Linked DNA regions of Rattus norvegicus. The protein of the gene in region 1 interacts with the protein of each later gene in a biochemical or structural test. Links are inferred from orthologs where the notes say so. Each region holds a gene or a part of one and is shown in the gene's direction. Other genes may lie near its edges. The genes, in order: Rala, Pld1, Ralbp1 and Exoc2.

Region 1 (8,208 bases):
AAAACGAGGCCCTAGAAACAAGCCAGGATAGGCTAAAATTCTCTCCAAAACAGATCATAAATTAAGTAGCAAGAATGGTGAGTTGCTGATACACATTTTAAAGATCATATTAGTGGTAACAAGTATTACACAGTGGAGCTGTACAAACTAATCAGGTATATTTTACTGACCTGCCATTCAAAGAATCTATTCATGTTTTTATTTTCTCTCAACTAAAAATGTTTGTGTTCCTATAATTTCTGCATCTCTTAATAATTTCAAAGGTATGGCATGTCTATGATAGCAAGATGATCTAAGATACTTATTTTGGTTTCTTTTAAATTTTTAATTCCATTTATTTATTTGTTTATTATTTAGTTTGTGTACATAGGCCACAGGACGAATGTGGAAGTCAGAGGACCAATTGTGAGACTCCATTCTCTTCTAGCATGTAGGTCCCAGAGAATGAGCTCAGGTTGTCACCCTTGGCCACAGGGGCCTTTGCTAGCTGAGTCTTTCAGCCAGCCCATGTTTCTTCATTTTGAAACAGAAAAGGCCAAACAGGGTTTCAGACACCTGTAACTCAAGTTCCTTGTGATATTGAGGCAGAAGGATCCCAAGTTCAAGGCCAGGCCACACTGGCGACTTGCTGAGACCTCTCTCAGAATGAAAGGGATTGAGGGCATAGCTCAGTGGCATATCTCTTCCACCGTGTGCACACGGCCTGAGATTCAGTCTTAGGACCTTAAGATACGTACACAGACAAACTAGCTAGGCATTTGCTCCAGTACTAATGAGAGCACCTATGACTCACTGTATAATTGACTATCACCACACATAGTTATAAGCATTCACTTTTAATGCTCTCAGCAACTGTGTGAGTAATGAATGCATTGTCAATCCCACCATATATATGAGGGCAGTGAGGCAAAGAAGTACTTTGCTCAGAATCACATGACTGGGAAGAACAGAGCCATAATACTTGACAGTCAGCGATATCTTGTAACATATAACATCTTTGTATACAAGAGCTATTTTTGGAAATCTCGGGCCTGTGTGGGAGGGGCCTTTGGAATGTAATAAGAATAGTGCTGTCTCTGAAAGCTCCTTCCGTAATCTCAGCTTAAGTAAGAGAAAAGTCCCAAAGAAACAGCTCAGCAATGTCCCCCTCATCTTCCAAGCTCATCTTCAAAGTAAGGATAGGCTGGGTGAAGTGTCCGCACAGCCTGTTGGAATGTCAGGGCGCCAAGTGCTGCATGAGTGCCTGGAACAGGAAGACATACTGTGTACAAACTGGGAGCCAGGCTGAGAACGGGACTCCGTGACAGAGTATGTGCCTAGCGTCTGTGAAGCCATAAGTTCTGTCCCACACTGAAAAGGAAACGCTAAAATCAATGAAAACAGCTAAGGAGATGGGTTTGGATCTGGATAGTAAGTGACATGTCAAGCTGTGATGCATGAAATGTGCTCACACTCGGATAGCAACCAGGGAAGGCCGTGTGTCCTGCGGCAGAGCTTGTCCTCACAGCTCTTCTGTTACTGCCGTGCTTGTGTTCCCTCTGCTGGGGTTCTCCATCCTCAGTCAAGGGAGTGTGTGTCTAAATTAGTGGTTGGCAGGAACCATGAACTTGGATTATCTAGAAACATGCTTGTAAATAAGTTCTGATTGCAGATGGCTAGTTGTTATTCTGTGGGGTTTGTTTACTTGTTTTTGATTTTAGACTTATTTTATATTTATGATTCTGTTTGGCACACATACATGTAGCTATGTGTGCCATAAGTGTGCCTGGTACCCACACAGATAAGATGAGAGCATCAGATCCCATGGAGCTGGAGTTAGGAATGCTTGTGAACCACCATGTAGGTGCCGGACACTGACCTGGATCCTCCTCCACAAGGACCGTCTTGGCTGCTGAGACAGCTCCGGTCCCTGTTCTGTGGTTTCTACTATGTAGACATTGTGTCAATACTTTCTCACTTGCTTTACTTCTCTAGGGAACAGATTTTAAGAGTAAAAGAAGATGAGAATGTCCCATTTCTCCTGGTTGGTAACAAATCAGATTTAGAAGATAAAAGGCAGGTTTCTGTAGAAGAGGCAAAAAACAGAGCTGACCAGTGGAACGTTAACTATGTGGAGACGTCTGCTAAAACGCGCGCCAACGTTGACAAGGTAAAGGGTGTTCTCATTGTTACTGTACCATGTATATAAAAGCCCTGTTACCCTACTTTATCTAGACTCTAAGATCCAACTAAAATTTAATATAGTGATTTGTTTGTTTACTTTTATTTATTGAGGGCAGGAGGGAGCTATAGCACACTTGTGGAAGTCAGAAGACAGCACAAAACAGTTCTCTCCTCCCACCAGGAATTAAACCCAAGTCCTTAGGCTTGGTGGCAAGCACCTTTACCCGAGAGCCATTTTACCAGCCCTGACAGAGATTAGAATGTGTTTAAGTAAGACAGTAGAAATTCACCTTGTCTTGGGCCTTCTCAGATATAAGACACTACAGAAGAATATAGTGTTCTAGGTCATCAGTAGCACTCCTCATCCCACTTACTGCCTTCATTTTTAATGGGATTGTATACTGTAAAAGAAGTTCTTTAGATCCTAACATGCCAACATGCTATGTGCTTGCTCTGACTGATGCCTGCCTAGTGTTATAGAAGTCCTCTGAAGGGAGGGTGCCTTCTGGATGGAACCCTTTCCAGGATTAGGGGAGATATCTTCAGGGTGCTTAGAGATTTTCATTAGGGTGCTCTCTAGTTACTGTGTACTATGACTATCCGGAGGAGCCCCTTAAACCCACTGTCCAGCCAGTTGTCCCTGAATCCTAACAAGCACACACACTGCCTTAAGGTTCACCACTAAGGACTTTGCTTCAATTGTTCTAGAATGGGAATACACATTTCTAGAAAGCTCATATTGCTCTAGATGGCCTCATGTGTTTGTAGACCAGTTGGCTTATACTTAGAAGTCCATAATACTGATTTAGGAAGCATGAGGTTGGTCGGCCATAGTAGAATTTACCTTTAATCACAACACTGGAGACAGAGCCAGGCAGCTGTCTGTGAGGTCAAGGCCAGCCTAGACTACACAGTTGCAATGAGAACTTGTCTTAAGAAGAAAATACACACACAAGAAAAGAAAAAAGAAAGAAAAAAGAAAAAATTGAGGCAGAAAACATGAGGTTAAAAAAAAATCAGCAGTTCTTTCTATTCATTTGTAATAGATATTATGACCATGTTGTCATGATTAAATTTTTTAATAATGTGGTCAGACTTAGTACTTGGATACAGTGAGTCCTACAATATTTCTGTTCCATATACTATACTGGTTTTCTGTAAGATTATGTTAAATATTTTTAAAGTTCTTCTAAAATACATTTTAATATTAAATGTGAGGAAGTTTTCAAAACATAGGCATATCTTTCTTCCTAATTGTCCTCAGGAACTTATGAACACACTAAAAGTGACTAAGACTAAGGGGAAAGGGAAAAAAGGGCAAAAAGAGGAGGCAGTGTAGAGAGATGAGCCATGCTGTCATAGCCATGTCTGGTGCTGACCTCAGAAGAATGCCAGGTGGGGTCAGGCTCTCCCAGGAGAGTTAGAAGACAGCCAGCAATCCAGCAAGAATGCAGTCTAAATGCGTTATCAGAAAAAATGTCCATGGCTTTAAACTTAAAAAGGACATTAGTCTTGCTTAAAAAAACAAATGTACTGTTTAAAAAAGTAATGTCATTTTTTAAATCCTATCTCATTGGGAAAAAATGGCAGTATATTCTTGGCATGAAATGTAAAAAAGCCTCATATTTATAGAAGGGCAATGTGATATTAATCTCTTAAAATTGTGACCCAGCACTTGAGATTCTAAACGTGTATTTTGTTCTACTGTAGACAAGGGAAAGTGGCACAAAGTCCCATTCCTAACCAAGAAGCTATTTGTAATTGGTAGTGACCAGGAAAGAGAAAATCAGTTTTCTCCAGTATACTGTCACTGCTCTATTAACCTACACCAAGACCTAGGTCGTAGGCTCAGGAGAATTGACCAGAGCAGGAGTGCCTGACTCAATAGGTTCCTGGGTGCTTTTTGTTTTGTTTTTGTGCTTTTGGTATTATTTTGTCTTTAGGAGGGGTTTGTGTGTTTGTTTTGATTTTTTTTTTCAGAGAGAATAAATTTGGGTGGGTAGGGCAGTGGGGAACGCTAGGAGGAGTTGCAGGAAGTTAAAGCCAATAAATTCAAAAGTATTAAAATAAAAATGTATTTTCTGGAAAAATCATGCACACATAAATATATTTACAGTGATAGTCATTGAAACAGTATTTATAGACGTGAAAGACTAAAGCTACATGTGTCTAATAACAATTTTAAGTCATGATGAGTCCTTATACTGAACCCAACTATTCAAAGGAGAAAGTGCTTTTAACTGCTGAGCTATCTCTCCCCCAGCACCCACACAGTTTTCTACTACAAACAGCACCCCACCAAACTTCTGTGCATCAGAAAAATGCACGGATTCTTTTTCAGCAGAGGTGACAGGTGACAAAGTGCCCACCATACCAGTGCCCTTGTGTTCCATTATCTTTATAAGAAATTGCTTTCATGTGTCCTTGCCAGCCCAACTAAAACAGCCCTTAAAACTTGCCCTGATTACGGGTGAGAATGCATGTGCTTTGATTGATTGATTGACCCAGTCATCTGCCAATCTGAAGTCTTTCTGTCCATCTGCCTAATGACTTGCATACCTTTTGACTTGTGTCTGTCTAGAATAATAACATTATCCCCTGTCCACTTCATTTGTTGTCATTATTGTCTCCTAATCTGTAACATGTCTTCATGTGGCTTACTTAATCTTTGAACAGGGGAAAAGTAGATTATACTGTCACATTTTGATTATTTTATTTTGTGATTTCTGAATTGTATGGCTTCCTTAGAGCTTTCAACCATTCTAAGCTACACACATACACACATATTACTTCCTTTGTGTATTCGTTTTTATAATAGCTCCTTGGTTCTGTTGACAATTTAATAGTCTTTAGTGTGAACTCAGGGCCACTAAATACTTAAAAGTGAAAATACTGGTGAAGGCAGTTTTTTTTTTTAAGCAATGGATATTTTAAGTCAAGTATAAACCTGTGGATTTGTTTTGTCTAACTTTATTTTTATTTATGTGAAAAGGTTACTTTCTCAGGTAATTAGTGTGGAATTAGAAAGCCACATTTTATAGGCACTGAGTTGTCCTATGAGAAAAGAGGGTGGAGCCCGGAGAACAAGACGGGCAGACGGGGAGGTGGTTCTGCTGGCTGTCTGACTCTGGCTTCTCTTCCTTAGTGGATGTTTGTTTTGGTCGGCACTTGAAACAGGATTTCATTCATCAGATTAACTGATGCAACTTTAAATGTTGTCTACCATGTTTTCTAGTATGGGTGGTTTTCTGAAAGTCATCCACTTGCTAGAAAGTTAAGCCTTCTTCTATGTCCATTTCACAGTGTACTATGATACAGTGCTGATACAGAGACCAGTACTGGAAGACTCCCATGGAGTTCTTTGACCAAAAAGGAGGCTTCCTGCTAGAGTTAGTCCCATCTGAACTGGAAGCAGAGGCTTCCAAAAATCCCTGGGAGATTTTGAATCCCAACACTGGTCTATGCCATTGTGATATTTCAGCATTGTATGCTCCCCAGTCCAGAATTACCCTTTATTCATCCGTTTCCCTGTCTGATGAGGCATTAGCATGTATAGTTCCCTCACTTTCTCATCTAAGTTTTATGTTTATTGTTCCAACTCAGAAATCCCATTTGATAGATTGTTACTCAGCCGTCAACCGGAGCCTGTTTGCCCGTTACTTCTCATTATTATCACCGCCTTGTGGCCCTGCCATTGAACAGTGTCAGGAAGTCTTTTTAAAAATAAAAGAAAAGCTCACGAATTCACAGTATTAATTAATGCCCTTTCAGATTTTTCTTTCCGGGATCCTTACATCTCTGAGGTAACACTCATCCTGGAAAGCCTTGCTTCTAGCAGCAACACTTGTGTTATCCTCCAGAGTGTGTGTGTGAGTCACTCTCACAGTGAGCCACGGAGTGATTCTTAAGACTTGTTTGGCCTTGTTTTGGTTGTTGCTGAGGTTCTGTGTGTGTACGTGTACACATGCATGTGTGTTTTTGTGTGTACGTACATGTGTATACATGTGGGTATGAGTGTGTGTATGCATCTATGTAGATGTGGGTGTGAGTGAGTATGTGAGACAGACAGACAGACAGACAGACAGACAGACTCAGGATCATACATAGAGCTTCTTGCATGCAAGGCATTATGGTCCTACTTGTTAGACTTTTATTTTTATCTTTAACACCTAAGGTGAATTTTCCATATACTGTGTTCTAAAGACCCTTGAAATAATTTTTTCTCTACATGATTATGTCATCAACTAGGAATGTAGTCATTGTTTCCAGTTTTCAAATTTTAATGAATTTTGTGTTTTATTTATGGTTTTAGTGTACAAAATTGTAATTTTTCCAGGTAGAAATTACATTCAGTTCTGATGTCTTCCATTGCTCTTGAAAATAGTGCTCCTGTAAGCTAGTGAGTATCTGGTTTATCCTTTGATGGTTCTGTCTTTACAAGTACAAGGAGATGCACACACACTGTTCCTCCCTCCTGTACAAGTACCTTCTCCATATGTCTGCTGCTGGGAGTTCTCCAATTAGTTTCCCTTGAGAGCTAAAGGCATAGTAAGACGGCATGTAGTCTTTGTCATTTGTGCTTATATGTTTGCACACTTGTGACAAGTTATTTTTTATATTTGTTTGTTTCTAATTTTATTGAGGTTGGGAGGTTTTTATGTTTTTGTACTTTTTTAATTCCCTAAGTAGTAACTGAATTTCTTGAGAAAGTGTGAACATATGTGAAGCTTAGCCAGGCAGATGGTGAGTTCAGGGCAGCTAGACTCTAAAAAGCAAACAGAACGTAGAACTGTGGCCTGCAAGAGTTACCGTCTCCTCTCAACACTTATCTATTATGTTTTTCTGGGTCTTTCTTTGTTAGAAAACAGGAGAATTGTAGTTGAGATTTAATACAAGGAATTTTTAGTTACTGTGTTAATTTTTTTCACTATAAACATAATTACCACCAAACCAATGAATTAGCAAAACACATTTGTTGATTACAAAATGCTCGTTATATGGCCTGGAAAGACGGCCCAGATGTTAAAAACACTGGCTGCTCTTGCAGAGGACCCAGGAACAGTGCCTTGCACTCATGATGGCTCATAACTGTCTGCATCACCAGTTCCAGGGGATCAGTGCCTCTGACCACATTAGGCACAGGACACACCATTGGCACACATACATGGGTCACTCTTGGCACACATACATATGTATATTTAGGCAAAACACTTATACACATGAAATAAAAATACCTTTCAAAAATATTTCATGTACTCCTTTGAGTTTTATCTTGGGCTCTGTCATTACTATATAGCACTATTTTCATTTGAATCTTGAAAATTACAATAAAATAGGTAGGGTTTGTTGTACAATGTACCATGAGATATATGTCATTCAGACAAGTTGCTAATTTTCTCAAGTTTCAACCTTCTTGTGTGCTCTCCTCTCCCTGCATTCACCAATAAGCCCTCTTGGGGGTAGGGCAGCTCTGTAAGTGAGCATTCGCCATCTTGTGCTGGGGAAGGGAGAGTTCTCAGACGCGATTCTTTCATCCGGGGGTTTGTGCTGTGACACAGAAACACTGGGTTCATGCTGCTTCTCATTTGTTTACTCCACTTTCTTTATTTCTAGGTATTTTTTGATTTAATGAGGGAAATACGAGCCAGAAAGATGGAAGACAGCAAAGAAAAAAATGGAAAAAAGAAGAGGAAAAGTTTAGCCAAGAGAATCAGAGAAAGATGCTGCATTTTATAATCAAAGCCCAAACTCCTTTCTTATCCTGACCTGACCATACTAATAAATATAATTTATAAGCATTGCCATTGGAGGCTCAATTGACTGAAATTACTTTAACATTTTGGAAATTGTAGTGTATCACTAAAAGCATGAATTGGAACTGCACTGGAAGTCAAATTCACTTAAAAAAGAAATTGTGTGGCTTCACCAAGAAGCAGAGTTCAACTTATTTCATAATCGCCTACCTTTATCCCAGTCCTGAATGTAGCGTGTAAGCTTGGTTGGGTTTTTTGGGGAGGTGGGGGGGGGGGCAGTCTTTCTCAAACT
Region 2 (8,208 bases), on another chromosome or scaffold:
TTCCAGTCCCCTGCTTCATGCACCACCACACCTGGCTTGCCCACACTGGGGCTGAACCCAGGGCTTCTGAGCAACTAAGCCACATCTTCAGCATGCTGCCTGTAACTAATCGCTTTCGCATTTTAAATGTTCATTGTAGAGGATTTTCATTTATTTGGTTGGGTTTATTCTGAGGTAATTTTTTCCTTTTAAGCTTTTATGAGTGGGTTTGTTTTACTGATTTATGGTCACAGCACATCTATTGTTTGCCTCCAGGAAGGCTACTTCAAACTACTTTTAAGATTACAGACTTAACATCTGTCTTTTGAAGATTGGGTTTTTGGTTTGCTGAAATAATCTTGATGGTTTTATAAGCCTACACGATTACAACACAGCAAATGGCTTTACCATAAAGGAATGAGTTTTCCTTGCCATTTATAGAGTTTGTGACTGTGTTGTAACACAGCTTGTAAAAGAAAAGAAATCATGGCCTTATTATCATGGGAATCTGCCATGAATTAGCTGTTTATTATAGGTCTAAGCATAAGTATGTAAGATAAACCCCAGTATAAATCACATTAAATTACTTCCTTGTTAGCCATTGGTATTTAAGATAAAAGTAGGCAGAGCTTCTTTCTATTTTATTTCCTTTAGAGTCACTTTGGTCAAGTGAGAAAAGACATGGTATGAGAGAAAATGCCAGGTGTAATAATTAGAAGGTATCAGTGCAGTCCATTAGAGTTCACATCTTCATTATCTAAAGATCTCCCAGTTACTGCGGTGAGTGGAAACTGCAGGAATTAGGCCAAGCACCTAGTATGAAATCCTGCCCTTCATGCACGCTATGTTTTAAACTCCATAAGTAGAATTTGGAGGCCTGGAGAGATGGGTCGGTGGTTAAGAATGTTTGCGGCAAAATCATGAGGACTTGATTTCAGATCCATGTCCACACAGAACTAGCTGGGCACAGTTTAGTGTGGCGTCATCACCCCTATGCTGTGGAGGCAGAAAGAGGAAGATGGCAGGGCTTTACTGGCTCACCAGCCTAACCAAACAGTGAACTCCAGCTTCAGGGAGAGACCTGCCACAAAGGAGTAAGGGACAGGGGGATAGAGGAGTGCACAAAGTGCCTTTCTCTGTTGTTCACATGCAAGGGACCCTGTGGGAATGTATGAGTGCTGCATGCCTACCACACGCACTATACACACAACAGAATTAGTGAAACACTCTCAAAGGCAAAGCCGAATTTCATGCATTTGAAATAAACGAGGAATGGCCTCAGGTATAACCACATATTACTTAGGTTGAAATTTTGGGTTGTAAACTAAGTTGTATTTCCCCCTAGTGTCTTCTTCAAAGCACTGACCATAGTTCAGTGCTAAAGTTTCAAATATTTAAAAGAACAGATCACAGGAAAAGAATACAACCTGACTTTCCTTTTGACCCCTCAACTAGTGTTTTATTAGAAAGTACTGCCTGGCTAGTATCAGAAATCAAGCTGTTCCCTTCTTTCCCACATTTTTATGTGCTTATTTCTTTATTCATATTATGTGTGTGATAATCTCTTTAAAAGATATTTCTAATTTTTAATTACATGTTCGTTGTGTGAACATGCATACATGCACACAGTATTTACAACGGCCTGAGATGTGTATCAGATCCCCTGGAACTAAGGCTGTGCGGCACTCTGGGTTCTGGGAGTGAACCTCTCATCCTCTAGTGTGGCCTGCTCACTTCTCTCTAACACATCATTCTTTAAAATAGATGTGTGTGTGTGTGTGTGTGTGTGTGTGTGTGTTTGTGTGCGTGCATGCTGCAGCACAGGTGTAGAGGTTTTTTCCTACCACCTGGGTTCTCCCTCAAGCTGTCATCAGGCCTGGCCACAGATACCTATATCTGCTGAACTAGCTTGTGCTTTTGAATTTGATTATAACAGTAACTGAACAGTCACCGTGAGCAATAACAAAAACATTCCTAAGGCCAGGTGTTAGCTACAGAAGTAGAATTTCATGCATGTGTATACACGCACGTGCAAACAGTTGTGCCAAATAGGTTAATTTTGGGGGTTTTTGTTGTCGTCTTTTCAGAATAAGGGTGGTGTGTCTTCTAATACACCTCATAAACACCTGATTGTATATCTAATGTCCTGCCAAAACCATAGACTCATATTAGCTGTAACTAGTGAAATGATGTGGTCTTATAGGAAATTCACATACTCTATCATATTGACCGAATAACAGTGGGAAATGTATTTCTGTTATGTACTACCTGAAGGCATGGACTCTTAAGGCATTTGAAGCTGTAGTGTTGTGAGAACACGTGGCTCTTGTTGGTCAGATGGTACAAGTCAGTAGGAGTTCGCCAGGTGCTTTCTGCTTTAATTTGACAGTGAACAGCTCTAGCTGTGTTCTTTTGGCCCACTGTCTAGGGGCAGATCTGTGTTAATTTGTGTGTCCATGTTACACTTAGCTACTGGTAAGAGAAGTCCTTTTGCTAGTGATGTAGACATTCAGTGTCTAAGTGCGAGGTAAGACTTAGCACATTCATCTTTGAGGAAATCAATATTTTTCAGGAAAGAAAAATCTTACTTAAGCTCCACCCTGAGACATTTAGGGAACATTTGGCACTGGCTGTTGCTTTGAAGGCTCAGGTCACAGTTTTCCTGGGTGATAAGTGAAAGGCACTGCAGCTACTGGACACTTTCAGGCACTGAGGCACTGGTCTCTGCATTCTGGATGTATTATTAGTACAGTACCAACACTCATGTGATTAAATGTGTATGAAGGGAAGGGGTGGTTTAATTGATATATATATATCAAATTCAACCCAAGCTGGCCTTGAACTCTCTCTATTCCTAAGCTTAGCCTTGAACTCTAGTTTCTCCTGACTCTACCTCCCAAGTGCTAGAATGACCAGTATTTGCCACCACACCTTTTAGGTTTTTTGTTTGTGTCTTGATGTAATGTGTGTCACTCTGTGTACTGTCTGTTTGCTAATTATTTTCATACCGCTTTGCAGAGTAAAGGAAATCTAACACAGGGAAAGGAAGAAGGGAAGGGGTCATAACTGTCTCGGTGCTCATTCCTGTCTTTCTTGTGACAGCAACAAGGTGTGCGGATTTTCATAATGCTTTACAAAGAGGTGGAGCTAGCCCTCGGGATCAACAGCGAGTACACCAAGCGGACTTTGATGCGGCTGCACCCCAACATAAAGGTATCCTGGAACCAAGGATTACTCTCCCACGGTGGCCATTTCTGAGTAGATTCCCTTCATGCTCATTTTGAATGAACAGCATCAAATCTTCTGAAATGCAGACAGTATTACACTTTCTTGTATTGCTTTCCAAAATTAGCATGCAAAGGCATGTAAATCACACATACATACCATATTTCTATTGAACCCCTTCTCCATCTCCTTTGCCTAGCATCCTGCTCCCCTATGCAGTGCAGCAGCCCACACCTGTGATCTCAGCACTTGGAAAGCAGAAGGAGAATTGTCATAAGCACAAGACCAGTCTAGGTTATGAAGTAAATGATAGGTCAGCCACAGTTACATAGGAGGACTCTTTGTGTGTGTGTGTGTGTGTGTGTGTGTGTGTGTGTGTGTGTGTGTGTGTGTGTGTGTGTATGTGTGTGTGTGTGTGTATGTGTGTGTGTATGTGTATCAGAGAGAGAGAGAGAGAGAGAGAGAGAGAGAGAGAGAGAGAGAGAGAGAGAGAGATTGATTATGTGAAAGTAGCCAGGGCTCTGGGGTCAACAAGAAGAGAGAGAGAGAATGAGAAGGAAGTCTGGTGACATCACGTATAATGAAACCTATCATTCTGCATGTTCACTTAAAAATAAAATTTAAAATGGGTTTTTAAGATTTATTTATTTGGGCTGGAGAGATGGCTCAGTGGTTAGGAGCACTGACTGCTCTACCAAAGGTCCTGAGTTCAAATCCCAGCAACCACATGGTGGCTCATAACCATCTGTAATGAGCTCTGATGCCCTCTTCTGGTGTGTCTGAAGACAGCTACAGTGTACTTACATACAATAAGTAAATAAGTAAACAAATAAATCTTTAAAAAAGATTTATTTATTCATTATATATAAATACACTCTACCTGTCTTCAGACATACCGGAAAAAGGCATTGGATTCCATTACAGGTGGTTGTGAGCCACTGTGTAGTTGCTAGGATTTGAACTCAGGACCTCTGGAAGAACAGTTAGTGCTCTTAACCACCGAGGAATCTCTCTAGCCCCTTAAAGTGTTTTTAAAGGAAGAATTCAGGGTGGTGTGGTGGTTCCCACCTTTAATCTAACCACTAGGCAGAGTCAGGAGGATGTCTGTATTGGAGGACACACTTGTCTATACAGTGAGTTCCAGATTAACCAGAGCTGCATAGTGAGGTCCTATTGGAGGAAGGAGATGGGAGGAGCTGGAAAAGGAGAGGAGGAGGAGGAGGAGGAGGAGGAAGAGGAGGAGGAGGAGGAGTCAAATTAAAATAAAAGAACATATCAAAACTGATAGAAATTAGCAAAGTACAAAGAGGGGAGATGTTTATAACCATAAACAATTCGTTAGAAAAGAGAAAAGGTCTCAAAATGTCAGTTTAATCTTAAAGCTTTAAGGATCCAGACAAAGGAGAACAAAGCAAACCTACAGAGAGCAGAAGGAAGGAAATCACAAAGGAAGCATTGTCCCACCACTGGCAGAGCAGGAAAAAAAAAATCGGTGGAACCAAAAGTTGGATCTTAGAAGGATTGACCAGTTCAAGAAACAAACTGTTATGTGGAAGAAGAAAGGAAAAGACTTTCTGAAAGGAAGAGTTTCTGAAGGCAAGCCATTAAAGAGGGGCCTGGGGAAGAATCCACGGGAGTGGTAAGGATTCCAGAGATTCCGTGAGCACAGGCACACCCAGTAGTAGGGTCACCTGCCTACGAGGCTAACTTGGGAAGAGGAATGACATCTGGATAGATGCAGCCAGTCAGGAGATTGATCAATAACTAAAAATCTCTCCCCAGGGGTCCCTTTGATGACTTCACTGATGAGCTCTACCCAACAGTTAGGGAAGGCCTATGTCGGTCCTTCTCAAATATTTTCAGGGACCCAGGAAGGAAGACTGGCCAGCTCATTACTTTGGAAAAACTGAATGATGCACACTAAAACTGGTCATGTGGTAAATTTCATGTTGTATATATTTTACCACAATATATGAAAGTGTTAGCCAATATTCTTAGGGTCATCCTAATTCCAAAACATAGGATCATATAGGGGGTCATCCTGGAGCAGTTGGTCAGTTTTTCCTAGTACCTTCATGTATCTGTATGCTTGTATCATTGGGATACAAATATAATTTCTTCTTTTTTGTTGTTTCTTTGTTGTTTTGAGCCTGGGTTTCTCTGGCTGCCAGGAACTTACTTGGTAAACCAGGCTGGCCTCACAGAGAACCGCTTGCCCCCTGCCTGCCTGCCAAATGCTGGAATTAAGAGCCTGAGCCACAACCCCCAGCACAAATATACCTTATAGATGTCTTCCCACATGTGTGTGCTTGGTTAGGTGTTTTATTTATTTACTTATTGATTAATTAATTAATTTATCCCGAGGGTTACCCTTGGAGGGGGTTGAAAGAGAACCTACAGTTATTAGACTAACATAGCTTTAATGGTTGCCATTCAAGTCAAATGACAATTTCTTCAAAATATCTCCTCTGGCTGAGAACTTAAACCATAAGAAGGCACATGGAGGGGCCTGCACCTGGAATCCAAGCATTTAGGAAGCTGAGACAAGATCTCAAGTTCAAGACCAGCCAGGGTAATCCTCAAAAAGAAAAAAAAATGGATGCAAGTCTTTCTCTGCTAATACTGAGAATAAAATTCGAAGTTTGAAAAACTCTCTTTGGCACTTCTAGAATACCTTTTTGTCTCTGAATTTCTTGGAAGAGTATTTTTCAAGGAGAAAGCATCCCTATCTATTGTGATGTGAAATTTATAAAGTGCATTCTCTGTGGATTTCTCCCATCTCCAGGTGATGAGACACCCAGACCATGTGTCCTCCAGTGTGTATCTGTGGGCTCATCACGAGAAGCTCGTCATTATCGACCAATCGGTGGCGTTTGTGGGTGGGATTGACCTGGCCTATGGACGGTGGGATGACAATGAGCACAGACTCACAGATGTGGGCAGTGTCAAGCGGGTCACCTCAGGACAGTCTCTGGGCTCTCTCACAGTGAGTACCTGGCGCCTGTGTGGGACAGCTCGAAGCTGGCAGGCTTGTCTAAACCCATATGCATAGCATAACTGAAAACTGACAGGCTTGTCATAAGTAGCGTGACTGACCCAGTAATGCAGAGCTGGCTTGGAGCAGGGAGCTAACTAATAACTTCTCAAAATACCTGCCAATCAAGAGCTGCCAAAATATCTCCATTTGCTTATGCACCTGCTTTGTGTTTCAGCTCTACACAATATATTGCAATGTATTTCTTGCAAGACTTGATGGGCTCTTATTTATAGATGGGAATATCTATCAGTTGCTTTTCTGGGGGTTGAAAGAAAGAGCACTGCACTGACTAGCATATTCCTTAGCTCTTCTCATTGCTGGGACCAAGTACTCCACAAGAAGCAACTTAAGGGAGGTAGGATTTGTTTTGACCTGCAGGTTAAGGGGTATTAGTGGGTAAGGGGTGTTCCTCAGTATGCTGAGGAAGGTGTGGAAGCAGGAAACTGTCCCTTGTGCATCTCATTACAATTGCAGTTAGGAAGCACAGTGAAGACAAGTGCTCAAACCTCAAAGCCCACCCACAGTGATCCCCCCCCTGCAAGGTTCCCCCTCCTAATGCCTTTCAAAACAGTGCCACCAGCTGGGGACTAAGTGTTAAACAGCCAGTGGGGGACATTTTGCATTCAAAAGATGCGCAAAGGATTAACAGAGGAAGTCATGGTTAATCAGAGAAGTTGGGTAGTTTAACAATGAATTTAAATAGTGTAATGACTGGGAGATAAAGGGGTTAGGAAAATGAAGTTCAAGTTTTACTTAGGCATTGTGGCATGCACCTTTAATCCCAGCATGTGAGGGACAGAGGCTGATGGAGCTCTTGAATTTGAGACCAGCTTGGTCTACAAAGCAAGTTCCAGGAAAGCCATGCCTAGAAAGAGAGAGACCCTGTCTCATAAAACAAACAAATAAACAAACAAACAAGAACAAAAATAAGCAAACAAAAGAATTTGGCTTGCTAAAGAAGAATCCACAGCAGGGCTCATTTGGCCGACCACCTGAGACTCTAGGAGAGTCTGTTCTGGGGCAACCACTTGTTAACTGCCTCTTAGCTCTAATTAATCGAAAGCCCATTGTAGTACATTTCATGCTTGGTCTTTTTTTCTCAGGCAGCATCAGTAGAGTCTATGGAATCCTTAAGCCTCAAGGACAAACATCAATCTCATAAAAACGAGCCCGTCTTAAAGAGTGTCAACGATACCGACATGAAACTGAAAGGCATAGGGAAGTCCAGGAAATTCTCCAAATTTAGCCTCTATCGCCAACTTCACCGCCGTAATCTGCACAACTCGGACAGCATTAGCAGCGTCGACAGCGCTTCCAGTGAGTCACGGCTTCGCTAGAACTTCCGTTACCCCGTGACCCTGTGGGTCTCGCAGCCCTTGCCTATTTGCTTTAGAAAGATCCGTGGTGGCAGTCAATGGACGATGTGCAAAGACTGCCATGCATCGTGTGTGCCACCATGGCACTGTGACACTGTGTTTTGAGACACTGTGTCTCAGCTGCGGCCCAGGCTGGTCTCAGACTCACTATGTGATAGAGACCGATTGGAGCTCTTGTTTATCCCAGATTGGGATCACAGGTCTCACCTATTTTAGAAGGTTCTGGGGGTTAAACCGGTTCTGGGTGTGCACTCAGGCACTCTACCAATTGAACCTTGTGCCCAGTCTCTTTTGCCTCATCTTAAAAACATATTTATTATTAATACAGTGTAATCATAGCCACTATTGATACTTTCGATGGTCGCATAATGACTAAAGCTTTCTAAAATATGCCAAGCTATAAAGAGAAAAAGAGCATTACGTATTCTTTATAAACCTTTCATAGGATAGATTTATCTTTTTCAGTCAGAGATATATGAAGCTTGTAGCAGCAGACATCAGATATCCTATATCGTATGAATTTACTACTCTTTGCAAATCTTGCTTAAAGTGCTGTGATTTTTCAATCACACTAGCTCGTATGGCTGACTT
Region 3 (7,643 bases), on another chromosome or scaffold:
TCTCAAATTGGTTCTATAGTCAGGGTGACCTTGAACTCTTGATCCTGCTGCCTCTGCCTGGCATGTGCTGGATGGTAGGCTCGGGACATCATGCTTGGCTTTGGACGTGTGCCTGAGTTTCACAGGGCAGATTGCACTGTCCAGCAGCCCTACGTGAAGGGTCCCTGCCATAGGACAGAGGTAGATGTTTGCCTTTTGTGTCTCTTAGTTGTGTGTCTGTTATCAAAGGCCCACGGCTGTGGAGATAGATGGCTTAGTTGGTGAAGTGCCTGCTTTGGCAAAAGTAAGGAACAGAATTCAGTCCACAGCACTCACACCTAGGAGTTATGTGCTTGTGTCATGGCTTATGCCTATGATCAGCACTGGAACAGCAGGAGGGCCCTGGGCTTGAAGGCCAGCCAGTGCAGAGGACTCCATGAGAGACCATGACTCAAAATTAAGTCGGAGAACTGACTGAGGAATGACATCTGACAAATGACTTCTAGCCTCTACCCATGTGTGCACAAGTACATGACTATACAGGTTTGTGTACACACACACACACACACACACAGAACTTTGGTATTGAGCTCAGAAGCAGTGTGGGGGTATGACAAGAGATGGCTGTCTTGTCTTCTTCCCTTTACCAGTTGTAGTCTCTCCCCGACCATTCCCTCCCCTTGCTGCCTTATTTTTTAGCTATACACCCAGGTTCCTTCATGCTGGCTTTACTTTTGAGGGAGAACTTACTTAAAGACATATCATTCAGTGGATTAATGACTGAAAATATGAACAAAGTCTAGCACCAGTTTAAACCTTGCTATCCTCTTGTCACTTTCCCAGAAATTAACTGTACGATTGTTTATCATACACCCCAGAAATCCACTCACAGCATTTATCCTCTAGGGGAAGCAGCAGCAACCTTTAAGCCTTCACTAAACACGGGCAACTTCGTAACAGCTGGAAGCAGCAGCCGGAGCCCTGCAGCTGCTGGGGGACATAAGCTGAGGGGTCCGCGTGCTGCTTCTCACTCGGCCACTGTTCATGCAGCACAGTAGACAGGCACATCTTAAAGCCAAGTGTGAGGCTACAGACGAGTGACTTGTTGGTCAGCTCCCCTGAGACATGACAGAGGCTGTGGGGATAGAGAGGGTCCGGCACCACAAGCGGTGTAGCAACGGGATGTTTCCTAACAGGGTGGTGGGGGTGGCTACTTGACTGTGTGTATTTGGTAAAATTAGTTAAATTAGGCTTACAATTGACACCCCAGTAGCTCCCTTCAAGATGTCTCATGTAGTCTAGACTAAGGGAGCGTATTCATCAGAACTATGCATTTTTCATAGTGCAGCCATAGACCAAGGTGACCATGTTGTATTCTTTCCTTACTTTAAAACGTTTATTTGTGTGTGAGTGTGCGCGTGGGTGTGGACGTGCCATGGCATACCTGTGGAAGTCAGAAGGACTTGCCGGAATCAGTTCTCTCCATCATGTGAGTCCTGGGGAGGGGAGGGGACCCAGGTTGTCTGGCTTTCTGATAGCAAGTAAGTGTCCACCACAGAGCCGCCTAGCGGTCTCTACCCACATTACAGTCTTTGATGGCTTGGTTTGGGTTTTGCCTTTTGAGGTGGGGTCTTTCTGTGTTGTCTTGACTGTCCTGGAACTTACTGTGTAAACCAGGGTGGCCTTGAACTTACATAGGTCCTCCTACCTCTGCCTCCTGAGTGCTGGGATTAAAGGCCTGTTCTTGTTCCACTATGCCTGGTCCTACCTACAGTACCTTCTAAGCCTGGTTAGCAGATGTCCAGCCATCATTACAGACAGTCCCCTGCTGCTGCTGCTGCTGCTGCCACCGCTGCCGAGGTTTCCTATCTTGTTAATTTGAGAGGGCCACTTGTTGACTATGTGGTACATGTGGGCTGAACAATAAATCGTGTGTTGTCTTTGACAGGAGTGTGAGACCAAGATTGCACAGGAGATAGCCAGCCTTTCGAAGGAGGATGTTTCCAAAGAAGAAACGAACGAAAACGAGGAGGTCATAAATATCCTCCTTGCCCAGGTACCTTTCCCTTCCCAAAGGGATTCACTTTCCAGATAGAAGCTCAACTACAGACTTTTTAAACCAAAGTTGTAATGGACTGGCTCAAAAGAACTTGTTCCTATTCTGTACTGTGTGTGCTGAGATGTTAAGTGTAGAGAAGAAGCTGCCTTCTGTCTGGCTTCCTGGTCTCTGTGAGTCTACACAGAAGTTTGTGTTGTTGGCATGTCCCTGATTTAAAAAACAGAAACAAAAACTCTGAGGAGAGAGAAGTTGCAGATTATTTTCTTGAGAGTTCCCACCTGAGGTTTCTTGGCATACAGCTCCATCCACATGTAGGGCAGACAAAGAATGTCAGTGTGTTTGCACGTGGAGAACCGGCCTCTTTCAGGGGCTTTTCAGTGCTTCCTGGGCTGTGCCCATGGCGCTCCTTGTCTGCAGGGAGTTGCTGATGCTTGTGCTTCCGAGTCCTCCTCTGCTCTACTGTTCTCTAGGCCTGAGGACCCGAGATGGAGTGCAGACAGGCTCTCTCCCTGGGGCTCTTCTCGAGCAGTTTAGGAAGGAATGGTTGACCTGTCCAAAAGGCATGGCTGGGGATGGTGAGGAAGGAAGGGAAACCCTGTAACCTTTCCTCCTCTCTGCTCTGCCTTGCACCTGACATTGCTGCCAGCCACACATGCTTCTCTTGGGCCTTTTCCTAGTGACACTGTGAGAAGCCGCTGTGTCCCTGAATCCTGAGAGCCAGGAAGCAGAGCAGATGGTGTTTAGGTTATGTTTGCTTATGCACGCGTGTTGCACACACAAATGCTCAGATGCCCACGGGGCCAGAAGAAGGTATTGGATCCTCCTCTAGCAGGTGGTTGTGAGCCCCTGAGGCGGGTGCTGGGAGCTGGACTTGGGTCCTCTGAGGAAGAGTAAGTGCTCTTAACCGCCGAGCAGCCTCCCCAGCCCTGAGCAAGCCAAAGCAGATGCTGACATTTGGTCCTTTGCCTTGGGTGGCCAGCTCACAGGAGCCTGTGAGAGCAGCAGCAGGTTCTTGTGTGCGTTTCGTTGGCGTTGTGTGCGTTTGTCTAGACATTCTCTCAACATGGCTAGGCAGCTTTTCCTGATTCCGAGACAATAGCACGGTGGAGGTGGTAACCTTGTCCACCCCGAGCCGCTATCACTGTTTCAGGAGAATGAGATCCTGACTGAGCAGGAGGAGCTCCTGGCCATGGAGCAGTTTCTGCGTCGTCAGATCGCCTCGGAGAAAGAAGAGATTGACCGCCTCCGAGCTGAGATTGCGGAGATCCAGAGGTACAGGGCACACGGGGCTGGAAGGTTCAGCCATGTTGTGGTTTACATGAGCAGAGCTGTTTTAGTCAGTAGTTCTCAACTTCCTAATGCGCCAAGCCTTCAACAGTTCCTCACGTTGTGGTGACCCCAGCCATAGCATTATTTGCTTTGCTATTTCATAATTGTAATTTTGCTACTGTTATGAATCATAATGTAAATACTGATATGCAGCTGGATGGTCTTAGGCGACCGCTGGGAAAGGGTTGTTTGAGACCCACAGGTCGAGAACCAGTGTTTTAGCCATTCCTATAAAAGAACTGGGCTTCTGAATGTCAGTCCCTGTGGGCTCCTTAGAAGGTCTTACACAGCCTTGGGTCAGGTAGCTTCTCTAGCTGGCCTCTGAGTACTCCATAACGCTCCCTTGTCTCCACACAGTCGCCAGCATGGCCGCAGCGAGACAGAGGAGTACTCCTCTGACAGCGAGAGCGAGAGCGAGGATGAGGAGGAGCTGCAGATCATTCTGGAAGACTTACAGAGGCAGAATGAAGAGTTAGAAGTAAGTCTGGGGGACAGTACCCAGGAATCAGCAACTTCAAGTGTTCTTGACCACAAACCACCTATTTTCCTGCTGGAGACTTGTGGAGGAGAATTCAAGGACCTTGTTTTTTGTTTTTTTTTTTTTTAAAGATTTTATGTATATGAGAACACTATCACTGTCTTCAGACACACCAGAAGAGGGCGTCAGATCCCATTACAGATGGTTGTGAGCCACCATGTAGTTGCTGGGAGCTGAACTCAGGACCTCTGGCAGTCAGTGCTCTCAACCACTGAGCTGTCTCTCCAGCCCCCTGAGAGAGAGCATTCTTACCAGGATGGGGCGTGTGCTCTAGGCCGTCTAGCCTTGGTGTATAAGTGAGCCTATAAAAGCTGAATGGTGCCTGGCCACAGACCTCCGTGGCCTTGCAGTGGAGAAAGTGAGTCCCTTGAATCGGCCCATTGTAAACTGAGGGACAGTTGTCTTGTAGTCCTTGCCCCACAGAGCAGCAGATGTGACCAAATGCCAGGGAAGCTCCACTGAGAAGGAAACACTGTCCAAGTAATTTCCTTTCTCATCCCAAATAAAACATTGTCACACTGTCTCCTGTGAGGACGACTGGGTGAACAGGACGCCTTTGCTTCATCCATGTTCACTCAACTGCCAGGCAAGTGCACAGGGGAGTCTAGAGTTGCACAGTGGCTGGGCATGGCGGCTCAGGAAGCAAAGGTAGGCGTTTCTGAGTTGTTGGCCAGCTTGGTCTACAGAGTGAGTTCTAGGACAGTCAGGGCTTGAAAAATCACAGCAAAAAGATAGGAAAACTATTGTTGCCGGAGCGATGGCTCAGCAGTTAAAGCACTGGCTGCTCTTCCAGAGGACCAGGTTCAGTTCCCAGCACCCACATGGCTGCTCACAACCGTCTGTAACTTCAGTTCCAGGGGATCCAACACCCTCACACAGACACGCATGAAGGTAAAACACCAATGCACATTAAATAAAAATAGTATTTTAAGAATTGCCCACCGCTGCTGTCCACTGTTGGGAGGGTGGGCCGAGTGAGGGGCAGTGATGCTCTTAACACTTGTAGCAGATGGCTCTCCTGGGGAAGAAGCAGGTAGGGATCCAGTGACATGGCCCAGCAGGTGGAGGCAGTACGGCCTGAGGACCTGGATTGACGCCAGCTCCCTTCACATGCACCCAGCCGTGTATCCGCACCCATTGAGTGATCCCAGCACTCGGGAAGCAAGAGGCAGGTGTGGAGCTCTGAGTTTGAGGCTAGCCTGGTCGATAGAGTTGAGACCTTGTCTTGAAAAACCAAATCAGAAAAGGAAGCTCGTGTGAGTAAGACAGGGATCCTGGGAGTTCTGCCCTGGAGAAGACACATGGGTGCCTTATGGGAATTCTGCCCTGGAGAAGACACATGGGTGCCTTAGTTTGCTCTTGCTTTCCTGAACAGAAAGTCAGACAGCAGAATTGTGTAGTGTTTTGTTGTGCATAATGTGTAGGCCCATTAACACAGCTTTTTCTGCTTGGGCCAAAGCGGCTGCCCTGAATCTTGCCACGTTCTCAGTAGGGGAGAAAAGGGTCAAGGCACACCCAGTGTCACACTGAGTAGGCAGTGGGGCTGGTGCCTGTGCTCACTTCATTGGAGCAAAGGTGTCTGTTAGAGGGCACACCCAGCTGCTGAGGATGCTGGGAAATACTGACGAAGAAGAGGGCATTCTGATGGCTGGGGTGGTCGCTGTACAAATTACTGCTGAACGAGCACAGCACACAAGGACAGATTTTACAGAGAAAATGGTCTCAGCTTTTATCCCCGCTCTCATTCCCTCTCCTCAGTGCTGTTAAAATTACCTGTGTTACTCCCTGGTGGGCTTCTCAGAAACCAGGGTGAGGAAAGAAGCCATTGAAGCACTGTACTTAGTCAGCAATGGTTCTGTCGGTGCCTTGTTTTCTAAGTGTGTTTACTGCTTTGTCACTAGGCCTCCAGTGGTATTTATTTGTCTTCCTGTCTTGTGCTGACCAGTCAGGTCGTCTGAAGTAGAACTGGACCCTTGCTTAGGACAGCTTGCTTGCAGCCTGTCCTGTGTTCTTCTGCCCTGATTCCTTGTCCATCTGACCTTGCTTAAGTGGTACCTGCCCTCCCTCTCATTCTTTCAGATAAAGAACAATCACTTGAACCAGGCAGTCCATGAAGAGCGGGAGGCCATCGTTGAGCTCCGAGTGCAGCTCCGGCTGCTCCAGATGCTGCGAGCCAAGTCTGAGCAGCAGCTCCAGGAGGAGGAGGAGCCCGAGAGGCGAGGGGGCACAGGCCCACTACCCTGTGAAGGTGTCCTCGAGGTGAGAGCAGCCAAGGAGCAGGCGAAGCCCTCGCCCAGCAAAGACCGGAAGGAGACGCCCATCTGAACTGCCCCGGCCCTGTGCATCGTACTGTAAGCGAGAGTCCGCTGCCTGTCCTGCCGGGCAGCGTTCTGTGAAGGCTCTCAGAGACGCTCGCTCTTGCACACGTCTGACTCCGTGTCAGGCTCAGGTCCTGGGAGAGTGAAGGGGTGGACACTCGGGGGTGGGGGGCTTGCAGGGAACACAGGTATTTCCAGATAGTGTCAGCTTATTTGAAAATTAATTTTCTTTGTTAAAAATAACTATTTTAACCCTTGAGTGGCTTCTTTTTAAACCAAAAAACTTTTTGCTTTTTTTTGTTGTTGTTTAAATCACAGCAGAATCAGGATCTCTTTCTTATCAAAGGGTGGGAACCAAACCAGGTCACTTCTGCGCCTGCCTTGTGGACGCTCGTGGTCTCACCAGCCCTGCAGGGTCCCTGGCCACTCTTGCTTGTGCCTTCCACACCTTTTGGTGCAGATTGTTCAGTGGGGAGCTGCCTCATATTCTCTGACTGGCCAAAAAGGCTCTCGCTGGGGTTCCCTGTACCTGCCCTGTGTGTACCACTTTGCTTTTCCAGCTCCGGGTCTGTCAGTGTGAGTCAGGACGGCCCAGTTTGGTTGCAGACGGAGGTTACCATGCAGCCTGCCACCAGCCTGGGCAGGGCAGGCCACCCACTCACTGCCAGGGAGCAGCAAGGGCCTCTTCTCAGAGGTGGTCAGAGATGACCACCTTGACCCTGAGGTTGCACAGGACACTTCTCACACCAGGGTCCTTTTCCACACTGACCTTCCAGGAAAGTCACCTTCCACAGTGACTTCAGTTGCTAGCTTGGGCTGGGATACCCACACCTCTGCCAGGATAAGCCATGTAGATGCTGTCATGCACAACTTTCACCTGTCCATGTCATCTCAAGGGGCTGCTTAAGGACTCTGACAGAACTGAGCGGAAGGAAGGAAAGCGTAACTGTAATTGACCCCCCCTGGTGTTTGCCTCTAACCTGGACGACTGCTCCCAGCGGTCTGGGAGGCCGGACTCTTAGGCAACCGGATTTCACTGTCAGATGAGTGGCCCCCAGGGAGGTCCCCTGTGGCTCTGAAGACAAATCCCACACTCTAAAGTGAGCGACAAACCCACAGGAGGGCTCCGGTCTACTCCTAGTTAGTATTTATTTCAGCACCTGTTGGTGCGATTTTTCGTTAGCCTCTACCTATTGCACTGTTGTGACTTGTTGGCCATTATTTGATTTTTGTACGGAAAAAAAAGCTTTGTTATAGAAATCAGCATACTATTTTTTTAAATCTGGAGAGAAGATATTATGGAAACTGGAAACGTGGTCAGGTGTCAAATGTAAATGTATAAATGCCTTGCTGCACCCGTCAGATGTGCAACACTCATTCTATATTTGCTGGCAATATTGAGGAATTCTTTTTGTTTGTG
Region 4 (8,208 bases), about 18 Mb from region 1:
AGATTGTGTGAATTCAGGGTTATGAAACAAAGTGAATTTTATTTTTATGTCTCATAGTTTAGTCCCATGAGTAGAACATCCTGGGCCCTTATGTAACCATTTCTTCATAGGTCCAGTGATGTCAGTAAGAAAATATTTTTTGGAAAGATTGGTGTAGGCTTTCCTTGGTGTTAGTATTGGAATCCTTGTACATTCCATCCAAGTTTCTGGACTTAACAGGACTTAAAACCCTTCCCTTTGTTTATTACTCCTGTGATTGTTGCTTGTCTTGGGTTTGTTGGGCTTTTGCCTCTGAGCATCAAGTCATAAACCTCGTTAAAATGAATATGTTCTGAATTTTACCAAAGCCATTTTTGCATCTTAAGAGAGACACAGGATACAACTGCACAGATAAGCAGAGAGGGCAGGGAGGCAGTGGGGTAGGTAGATCAGGTGTGGCTCTTGACAGGGCTTCAGCAGCACTAAAGGGAGGAGACAGGCTGCAAGGTAGTGAGGGAGCGATATGAATGCCTGCTGTGCCCAACAGAGTTCTTAGAGTAGAATTAGTCCTGAAGATGGCGAGCACTTAAAGAGCTCAGTAAGGAAGCTATGTGATGGCGTGCTTAGAAGAGTAGGCGCCATGGGATCAGCATAGATTCAATTCCATAGGAGACCAGAGAAAGGGCACAGTTGTAGTGAGCTCAATAGCTCAGACAAGGAGCCCATGGCAGGCAGAATAAAGATGGGAGCATTGGAACATTGGCTGCATAAATGCAATTAAAAAAGGAACATGGTTTGTGAGGCATTTACATTTCTAGTCTTGGGTAAAGGAGCCAGTTTAGGACACAAGGAGAGAATAGAGGAGAAAATTTTGTTGAGTTTATACAATATAATTGAGTTTTACATATAATTGCGTAACCTGAATCAGGAATTCCTCAGAGTTGATCACCAAGTATCTTCCTGGCTTTAACTACATCTTTTTTGTATTAAATCGGGCAAATGAGCTTTGTATATCAATACAGTCTTACCCAATAGCATGGACCCAGCATGCTATTGAATTGAACTGCCAGGCATGGTACATGCACCAGTGCAATAGGGTGTGACTAACATGAGGGTAGCTGACACCTTCGTGAGCCTTAGATTCATGCCTGCTGCTATAAACTTGGTCTGAAACCTTTGTTGGGAAGCGTTTTAAACCCTACTGAGAAACCTATTCTTGTTTTGTTAAATGGTTCTGTTGTCAAGCTGCCTTCCAAATAAATAAGTGTGTGTGTGTGTGTGTGTGTGTGTGTGTGTGTGTGTGTGTGTGTGTGTGTGTGTACCATGTGGATCTGTAGGGCTCTGGGATGTGACATGGTTGTGTGAGTAAGTAGTGTACACTGTCTCAGCTACTATGTTCTGTCACTCAGTTACAGAAAGCAACTATCTAGTCATCCTGGCGCCTGTTGAAACAGAGGCACGCAGAATAGGTTTGGTCTTTGGGAGGCCCTGCCTTTGCCAAGTATCAGTGTGCATTTTTGAGGTACTTTAATTCTCCAGTTGCTTTCACATTTGCTTTTCCTCTCAATACTTTGTCTTTCCCTGGGGCAAACTGTGATGGTTGGGAACCATCCTGCATTGTTCCAGCCCCTAGATTCCTATGAGGCACAACACACACACAGACACACATACACACATCTTACTTCTGTGATCTCCCATTTCAAGTTGCCCTTACAAAGAAAGAGATCAGTGTTTTCACCTTGAAATAGAAGACAGCATAATGTCTACTCTAAATAAACATGCCTGAAATTATAAGACACCATTAGAATGGCATAAGTCGGTCTTCTAGGTGTCTGTAAGAGACAGGTATGAGTGCAATGGATTAGTGTCTAGTGTGAAAGCAACTTCTTCCCTTGCTACCCTAGGGTACATTTTACTGCTCTGTGGGCCCAGCCACTGTAGTGGCCACTGTGGTGGACATAATGGCTTTGCAGTTAGTTTGTTTCTGGGGCCCATGTGTGAGACAGTGATAATCATTATCCAAATGAACTGATGAGGAGGCCATTTTCAGACAAGGGTAAAGGATATTTGAGGCCCAGCACCATCGTCTACTAAATCGTGTGTCTTAGGGCAAAGGCATGCATGCATGTCCATCCAATCTCCATACTTTTATTCTGTGTTCAACAGTGAACATCCAAAACCTTGTCAGTTGCCTTAAAATTGGACATTCTTGGTGTGAGGGAAAGAGCAAGGTGTATGTGGATTAACACACATGGAGGATTTTGGTGGGATGGTTTTGTGGATACCCAGCTGATACTTTTGTCTGCATCATTAGCCCACATATGGTGAGCACCCCCATTCCTCTGCACAAGGTTTCTGTCTCCTTGCAGTCCTAGAAGAGACCCCCGAACATTTGTGACTGCTGGTGATTATATGTGATGTGTAGATAGATCTTAGTTACATTGCTCTGAAACATTGTATCATTTAATGTCTTTCCCAGTTGTCAGAATTAGGAACTGAATTTTTATTGTGAGTGCAGTACAAATCACAGCAAATCATAGTTTATTTGCAGAAGTTGTCTGTATAATTTTCAACCTTGTATAAATTCAGGTTCTCAGTTCACAAATTTTGGCATAAAGTTTAATTTCAGTTTATGTTTCTTCCTATAAAATTATCTCTAGAAAAAATTATATTTTATTCAAGAGTAAGTATATTTTCTACCTGTTCTTCTTTTCATATTTTTAGAGTTTAAATTATTAGCTGGAATTTTTTTATTACTTTAAAATGATGAGAAGAATTTGAATTCAGACTGTTTACTCTGAATTCTTTCATTGCATAGAAAAAGGAATTTGCTAGTATTCGGCCCATACTTTACATGTAAATAAATAAATAAACAGAAAAGATTCTGTTCTGTGTGAAGTTTAAGTTACAAAGCTTAAACTCAATGATGTTTATACTTTTAAAATGATAAGCAAATGCTTTATGATACTTTTTTTCTGAAGAAGTTTTAAAATTCTAATCAGATTTCAGTACTCACTCAAGCCTTCATTACGTGGCTTGGTGACAAGGAAATGTATTTCTCATCCCACAATAGAGGTTTAGTATCCACATTAAATAACATGTGGGAAAAACAGTTCTCTTGACCAAACGAAGTTTTTATATCAGGCCTTTAAAATTTCAACAGAATTTAAACATTATTTAGATAAAACAATCATGTTACAAAGACGACTTTTAACAGGATCAGGCCACCCACAGTGTGGCTGTGGTGTGCAAGCCACCCAGCGAGGCGAGGTGAGTTTTTCATCTTTGCTTAAAGTATAGTCACTAGACCAGATAATGTAGAAACTTTACAAGCAGGTCAAACAGCTGAAAGCACTTTATTCTTGCTCTCTCTTTTCCTTGTAGCTAATTAAAATTAATTCACATGTTGCAAAATTTAAACTATTTTTGTATACAGCAAATTTTGCCTTAGAAAAACAGCTTTTATTTAAAGTGATATGTGTAATTTGTACTTTTTAAAAGAAAGAGTCATACGTGGTCATACATGATTTTTTTTTTAGCTGATTTAAGAAACAGTAGTGATGTTGTATTAAAATTTTGTTATTTAAAGTTCATATAATTTTCTATGCTTGCAACATTGAGGGATAATTTTATCAAGAAGGAGAGTTAGTGGTAATGACTTTTAAAAAATACTTTTCTGAAAACAGTTTCCCATATCCCGTTTATTACCTGTAATATGATGCAGAATTAATAAAATTTAAGTGGTGCGGTGTGCGTGTGTGTGTGTGTGTGTGTGTGTGTGTGTGTGTGTGTGTGCATGCGCACGCGTGCATGTTCTTTAAATACCCAGAATTATTATAAAATTTAGAGAGTTAAAATAAGTATATATGCATATTGGAGAAAATGATTTGAGCTTATTTAGTAAATGTTGCTGCTTTAATTAGATACCATTCTTAACATATGAAAGGACTTAAAAACTAGACATTTTATTTTAGCAAACTGTAAAAGATCTCTATATTGGTAACTTTAAAAAAGTTTACTGAATTTCAGTGCAGTGTAACGTTACCATTTGCTTTTAGTGCTCAGATTTAGGTCATTGTCACCGATCATCCTTTCTCTCTGTTTACAACAGGAGCAAGTAATACTGCTGACACATTGTTTCAAGAAGTGTTAGGTCGGAAAGACAAGGCAGATTCCACTAGGAATGCACTCAACGTGCTTCAGCGGTTTAAATTTCTCTTCAACCTTCCTCTCAATATCAAACGGAACATTCAAAAGGTACAGCATATGTATGTGTGCAGATGCTGCTGATCTTACAGATGGTTAAGGTATGTGGTATATTTTATTTTAACCCTGTGCTCACTGTTCTTCCCTAATGATTCACAACGTGTTTCTTATTTTCAAGGGGGATTATGATGTGGTTATTAATGATTATGAAAAAGCCAAATCGCTCTTTGGGAAAACGGAGGTGCAAGTTTTCAAGAAATGTAAGACTTATTTACTACTTTTAGACCTGTCTTTTCCTTTTGCAGGAGGAATGTGCAGTGTATACTCTGTAAAGAGTGTATATTCTGTAAAGAGTGGCACTTCTGTCCTGAGTCTTGTTTATATGGTGCTTTCTTTAAAACGTAAAGCAATGAGTGCAATGTAACCTCACGGGTTTTCTTACTGCTGTGTGGTGGGAGTGAGTGTTCATGGGGAGGCGAGGGCCGGTCTCAGATGCTCTGCTGTTGTTTTAACTACAGTGCATTAAAAACTTTTGTACTAGAGAGAGGCAGCAGCAAGTTTTTCACAGATGTGAAAATCTGCATTTCAGTCCTCCCTTTTCAAGCTAAAACCATGTATTTATGAGTTCTACTCTTACTCTAACGCAAACTCAATACTTTTCAAAATTGCTTTCTATACTGGGTTACAGAAAATAAAAGCTTAAATATCTTATGGTTAAAAACTTATTAACTAGGAGAAATACCATAGGTCTTATTAAATTTAAAAGAATGAAATCTATAAGGCCTCAGAAAGCAGAATTTATTTCTTTACTGTGGTGAAATTTACATGCAGTGAAATGCACAGACCTTACATGTTACAGGTCACTGAATTCTGACGAATGCTCATGGCCTCCTATACACTTGAGATGGTGTGTTTTGATCCCTCCACAAAGGTCCCTTGTGTCTCCTCTGAGTCAAAAAGCAACCAGTATTCTGCTTTCTGAAAGTGATTTTAAATTCAGTTCTGTAAATCTTGCATCTTTTAAAAATAGATTATGCTGAAGTAGAGGCAGGAATTGAAGATCTAAGAGAGTTACTTCTAAAGAAACTGCTCGAGACTCCGTCAACCTTACATGACCAGAAGCGTTACATAAGGTAAACCATGTGCAAGAACTCTGGTAAATTGCATATCTGTACTGAGTATATTGTAAAACCCACAAAACTAATTTGGGCGAATCAAAGGACTGATGAAATGGTAAAAGGGAAGACAATAGAAATTTGGGGGTATTTGGTTAGGACATGAATATTCCTGGAATATAAATAAGTTGGGAGCCATTATAGAGCCACCCTACCCTCAACCACCCCCCCCTGCCCCCGCCCCCGCCCCCGCAGGACAGACAGCCTGCCAGGTTGGCTGAAGGAAAAGCAGTCTCATCGCTCAGACCTGTTTTTCCTGCTCAGTAATGGTTACCACCTGACTCCCCTGGTTGACTGGGCTCTGCACCTGCAAATGCCAAACTCCATAAGGTGGGAAATTATAGCTCAGAAGTGTACCATGGCTGGACAGTAGTGAAGGATAGGAGGGTTTTCCCTAGAAAATATACAGATTTACATGTCTGTAGTGATCATCGAGAGAAGTAACTGTGGGAATAGTTTTCAGTTGGCAATACATTCAGAAATACTCAGCAGTGTTAGAGGAGCTGGATTCACAGGGCAGTGGAGATGCCGAGAGGAATGAGCCTTTCATTCTCGCTGCTCTGGAGTCCTGCTCTTCAGTTTCTTCATCGGCAGAGTGAACAGAGCAAGCAGCACGACTGGCTCAGGGCTGTTGAGGAGCTGGTCTTCTTAGGGAGTCGGCTCAGAACCTAGCACATAAGGAGCAGGCAGTGAGTTGTAGCTGTGCAGAGCCTACACTGCATTTGCAGATGAAACATAAATTAACAAGAGTTTTGTAACTAAGATTTAAAAATACTGACTTGGTTTTCTGCTATGCTATCTTAAGTGGGGTCTGAACTCAGAATAAAGGGCTCTTTCCCAAATTCAGTGACTTCTTTAATGAAATTTACTAAAACTTCAGTAGCTCTAAAATGACTTCATATATGCGTGCATATGTATTGCCTGTGGTCATCTTATGGACATTGAAAATACTGTGTGTAGGCCTGGAAAGACAGCCTGTCCCCGGACACTGCTGTCTGTGCATTGAAGGAGGGGCTAAGCTATCTTCTAGGCTAACAGTGGAGCAGATGCAGGACAGAGGATTTAACAGTGGATCCAGAGAACAGTGAACTGATTGCTGCTTCTAGGAAATGCAGGCCATGTGCCCACACTGGGCTGGGTGCTAACTGTGTTTCCTTTCTGGCCAAAGGGTCCAGCATACACAGCCCCAACAATTGCTTATCTGGTGTCAGAGCCCACCCTTTCCTTTCTTCTCTGCCTTGAGGAAATGTTATAGTTGAGGAACTTCCCTGGCTTGCAAAACTGCACAATTTAAAGTTGAAATAAACTCGGTGTGAGTTAGCTAAGCGCCTTGAAGCTTTGCTGCTTGTGTGTTAGAAGGTTAGCTTGCTTCCTCCTGCGTGAGTGAGCTAAATGTGCTTCAAGAAGTGCATTAACTTGTGGCTACAACTTTGAGAAGGCACTGAGCAATCTGATGATTAACTTTTAAAATTACATTTCTAGCTATTAGTGGATTAAAACTGAGCTCAGAACCAGGTCAAGTCTGTTTGACTTTAACATCTATGGCGATAGGTCCTGTGTGCACCAAGTAAAGCCAGAGACAGCCTGTGCACAGCTGTGTGTGTTTGACTCTGCCATCCACAGTTGGAGTGATAGTTCACTGCTGTTCTGCCTGCTCTCCTGGGCATAACTGAAGGTATCCTCTTCCATGCAGCTTAGCAAGAAGCAGTGCTCAGCGCTCTCTCTCCTCTCTCTCTCTCTCTCTCTCTCTCTCTCTCTCTCTCTCTCTCTCTCTCTCTCTCTCTCTCTCTCTCTCTCTCTCTTCCCCAGTGTGTCCCTACTCCTGGAGCTGTTGAGAATCCCAAAGAAGGTGGCTGGAAAGGCTTTTAGATTTCCTTTGTTTTGTTTCCTGAGAATTGAGCCCAGAGTTTCACTGAAAATATTCCTCCTTAAATTCTAAAACTCTGAATCTGTGCTCATCAGAATTAAGATTCTTCACCCCACCTCCCTACCTTTCCAAAACGCCTTCTTCAAAATGTTCTCTAGTATATAATTTAAAAAGAAAAGCAGTAACTTGTACCACTAAACATAGATTCTTTTACTGAAACTGCTAGTTTTAAGCTTGATGCTAAAAAGAAAAGAAACTTATTTAGGTCTAGAACTAACATAGTACTTACCAACCGAAACATTTTCTAGATTTTTTTGAGACAGTAACTTTATCTTTCTATATAAAATGTTTCTCAGCTTCTTCAATTTTCTGTTAAGATGGTATAGGATTATCAAAACTTTTAAGGTCATAGTGTATGATCTAAAGAGATTTACAATTTTATGCTGGGCAACTGCTAAAGAGCCCAAGTGGTGTACTGCCTGCAGCCCTAGCCAGGAACATCACAAGGGAAAGGATGCATCTTCTGTACAAGAATAGTGCTGTGCTTTGTGTAGATAGTGAATTGGGCCTGAATGAAAGTGTTAGGAGTTCTGAAATATCCAGATGCAAAGCAGCCATGTCGGGAGGTGTTGCAGTGGATTATCCTCAGCAGGAAAGAACAGAACGTATGTTCTTAGGGAAGGGAAGACGTAAGCTCTGACTTGCTGCATTTATATCCCAAATAAGAAAAGAGAACAGCTCTTGGGAGAGGAATATATCGGAGTGGATTTGGGGAAGTTTGTTTGCATTGAATTCCTCATACTAAGCTAAGTGTAATTTGTTGGAGTGTGGTTTTCTTCTGAGGGTAGTGCTCTCATAAATGAGGACGGCTTATAGGTGCCTTCTTTATATGGGCAAAAATCCTTTTTTAAAAAATTATTTTTCTTGGATATTTTATGTATTTACATTTCAAATGTTACCCCTTACCTCCTCTCCCATCCC

The links.
Region 2: the proteins of Rala (region 1) and Pld1 form a complex in vitro, tested with the Homo sapiens proteins (2 studies listed by BioGRID). The link is inferred for Rattus norvegicus from reciprocal best matches to the Homo sapiens genes RALA and PLD1.
Region 3: the proteins of Rala (region 1) and Ralbp1 form a complex in vitro, tested with the Homo sapiens proteins (3 studies listed by BioGRID). The link is inferred for Rattus norvegicus from reciprocal best matches to the Homo sapiens genes RALA and RALBP1.
Region 4: the proteins of Rala (region 1) and Exoc2 are reported together in a solved structure, tested with the Homo sapiens proteins (2 studies listed by BioGRID, with this or other methods). The link is inferred for Rattus norvegicus from reciprocal best matches to the Homo sapiens genes RALA and EXOC2.

What each region holds. Positions count from the first base shown.
Region 1 is NC_086035.1:51,831,050-51,839,257, forward strand, and holds part of Rala (ras-related protein Ral-A), read left to right. Parts: intron 1-1,974; coding exon 1,975-2,149; intron 2,150-7,776; coding exon 7,777-7,899; 3' UTR 7,900-8,208. UniProt on the Homo sapiens protein: Multifunctional GTPase involved in a variety of cellular processes including gene expression, cell migration, cell proliferation, oncogenic transformation and membrane trafficking.
Region 2 is NC_086020.1:112,900,168-112,908,375, forward strand, and holds part of Pld1 (phospholipase D1), read left to right. Parts: intron 1-3,081; coding exon 3,082-3,192; intron 3,193-5,989; coding exon 5,990-6,190; intron 6,191-7,344; coding exon 7,345-7,558; intron 7,559-8,208. UniProt on the Homo sapiens protein: Function as phospholipase selective for phosphatidylcholine. Implicated as a critical step in numerous cellular pathways, including signal transduction, membrane trafficking, and the regulation of mitosis.
Region 3 is NC_086027.1:112,903,426-112,911,068, reverse strand, and holds part of Ralbp1 (ralA-binding protein 1), read left to right. Parts: intron 1-1,927; coding exon 1,928-2,035; intron 2,036-3,188; coding exon 3,189-3,310; intron 3,311-3,724; coding exon 3,725-3,845; intron 3,846-5,984; coding exon 5,985-6,230; 3' UTR 6,231-7,643. UniProt on the Homo sapiens protein: Multifunctional protein that functions as a downstream effector of RALA and RALB. As a GTPase-activating protein/GAP can inactivate CDC42 and RAC1 by stimulating their GTPase activity.
Region 4 is NC_086035.1:33,789,538-33,797,745, forward strand, and holds part of Exoc2 (exocyst complex component 2), read left to right. Parts: intron 1-4,090; coding exon 4,091-4,236; intron 4,237-4,363; coding exon 4,364-4,445; intron 4,446-5,215; coding exon 5,216-5,318; intron 5,319-5,816; exon of another isoform or gene 5,817-6,028; intron 6,029-8,208. UniProt on the Homo sapiens protein: Component of the exocyst complex involved in the docking of exocytic vesicles with fusion sites on the plasma membrane.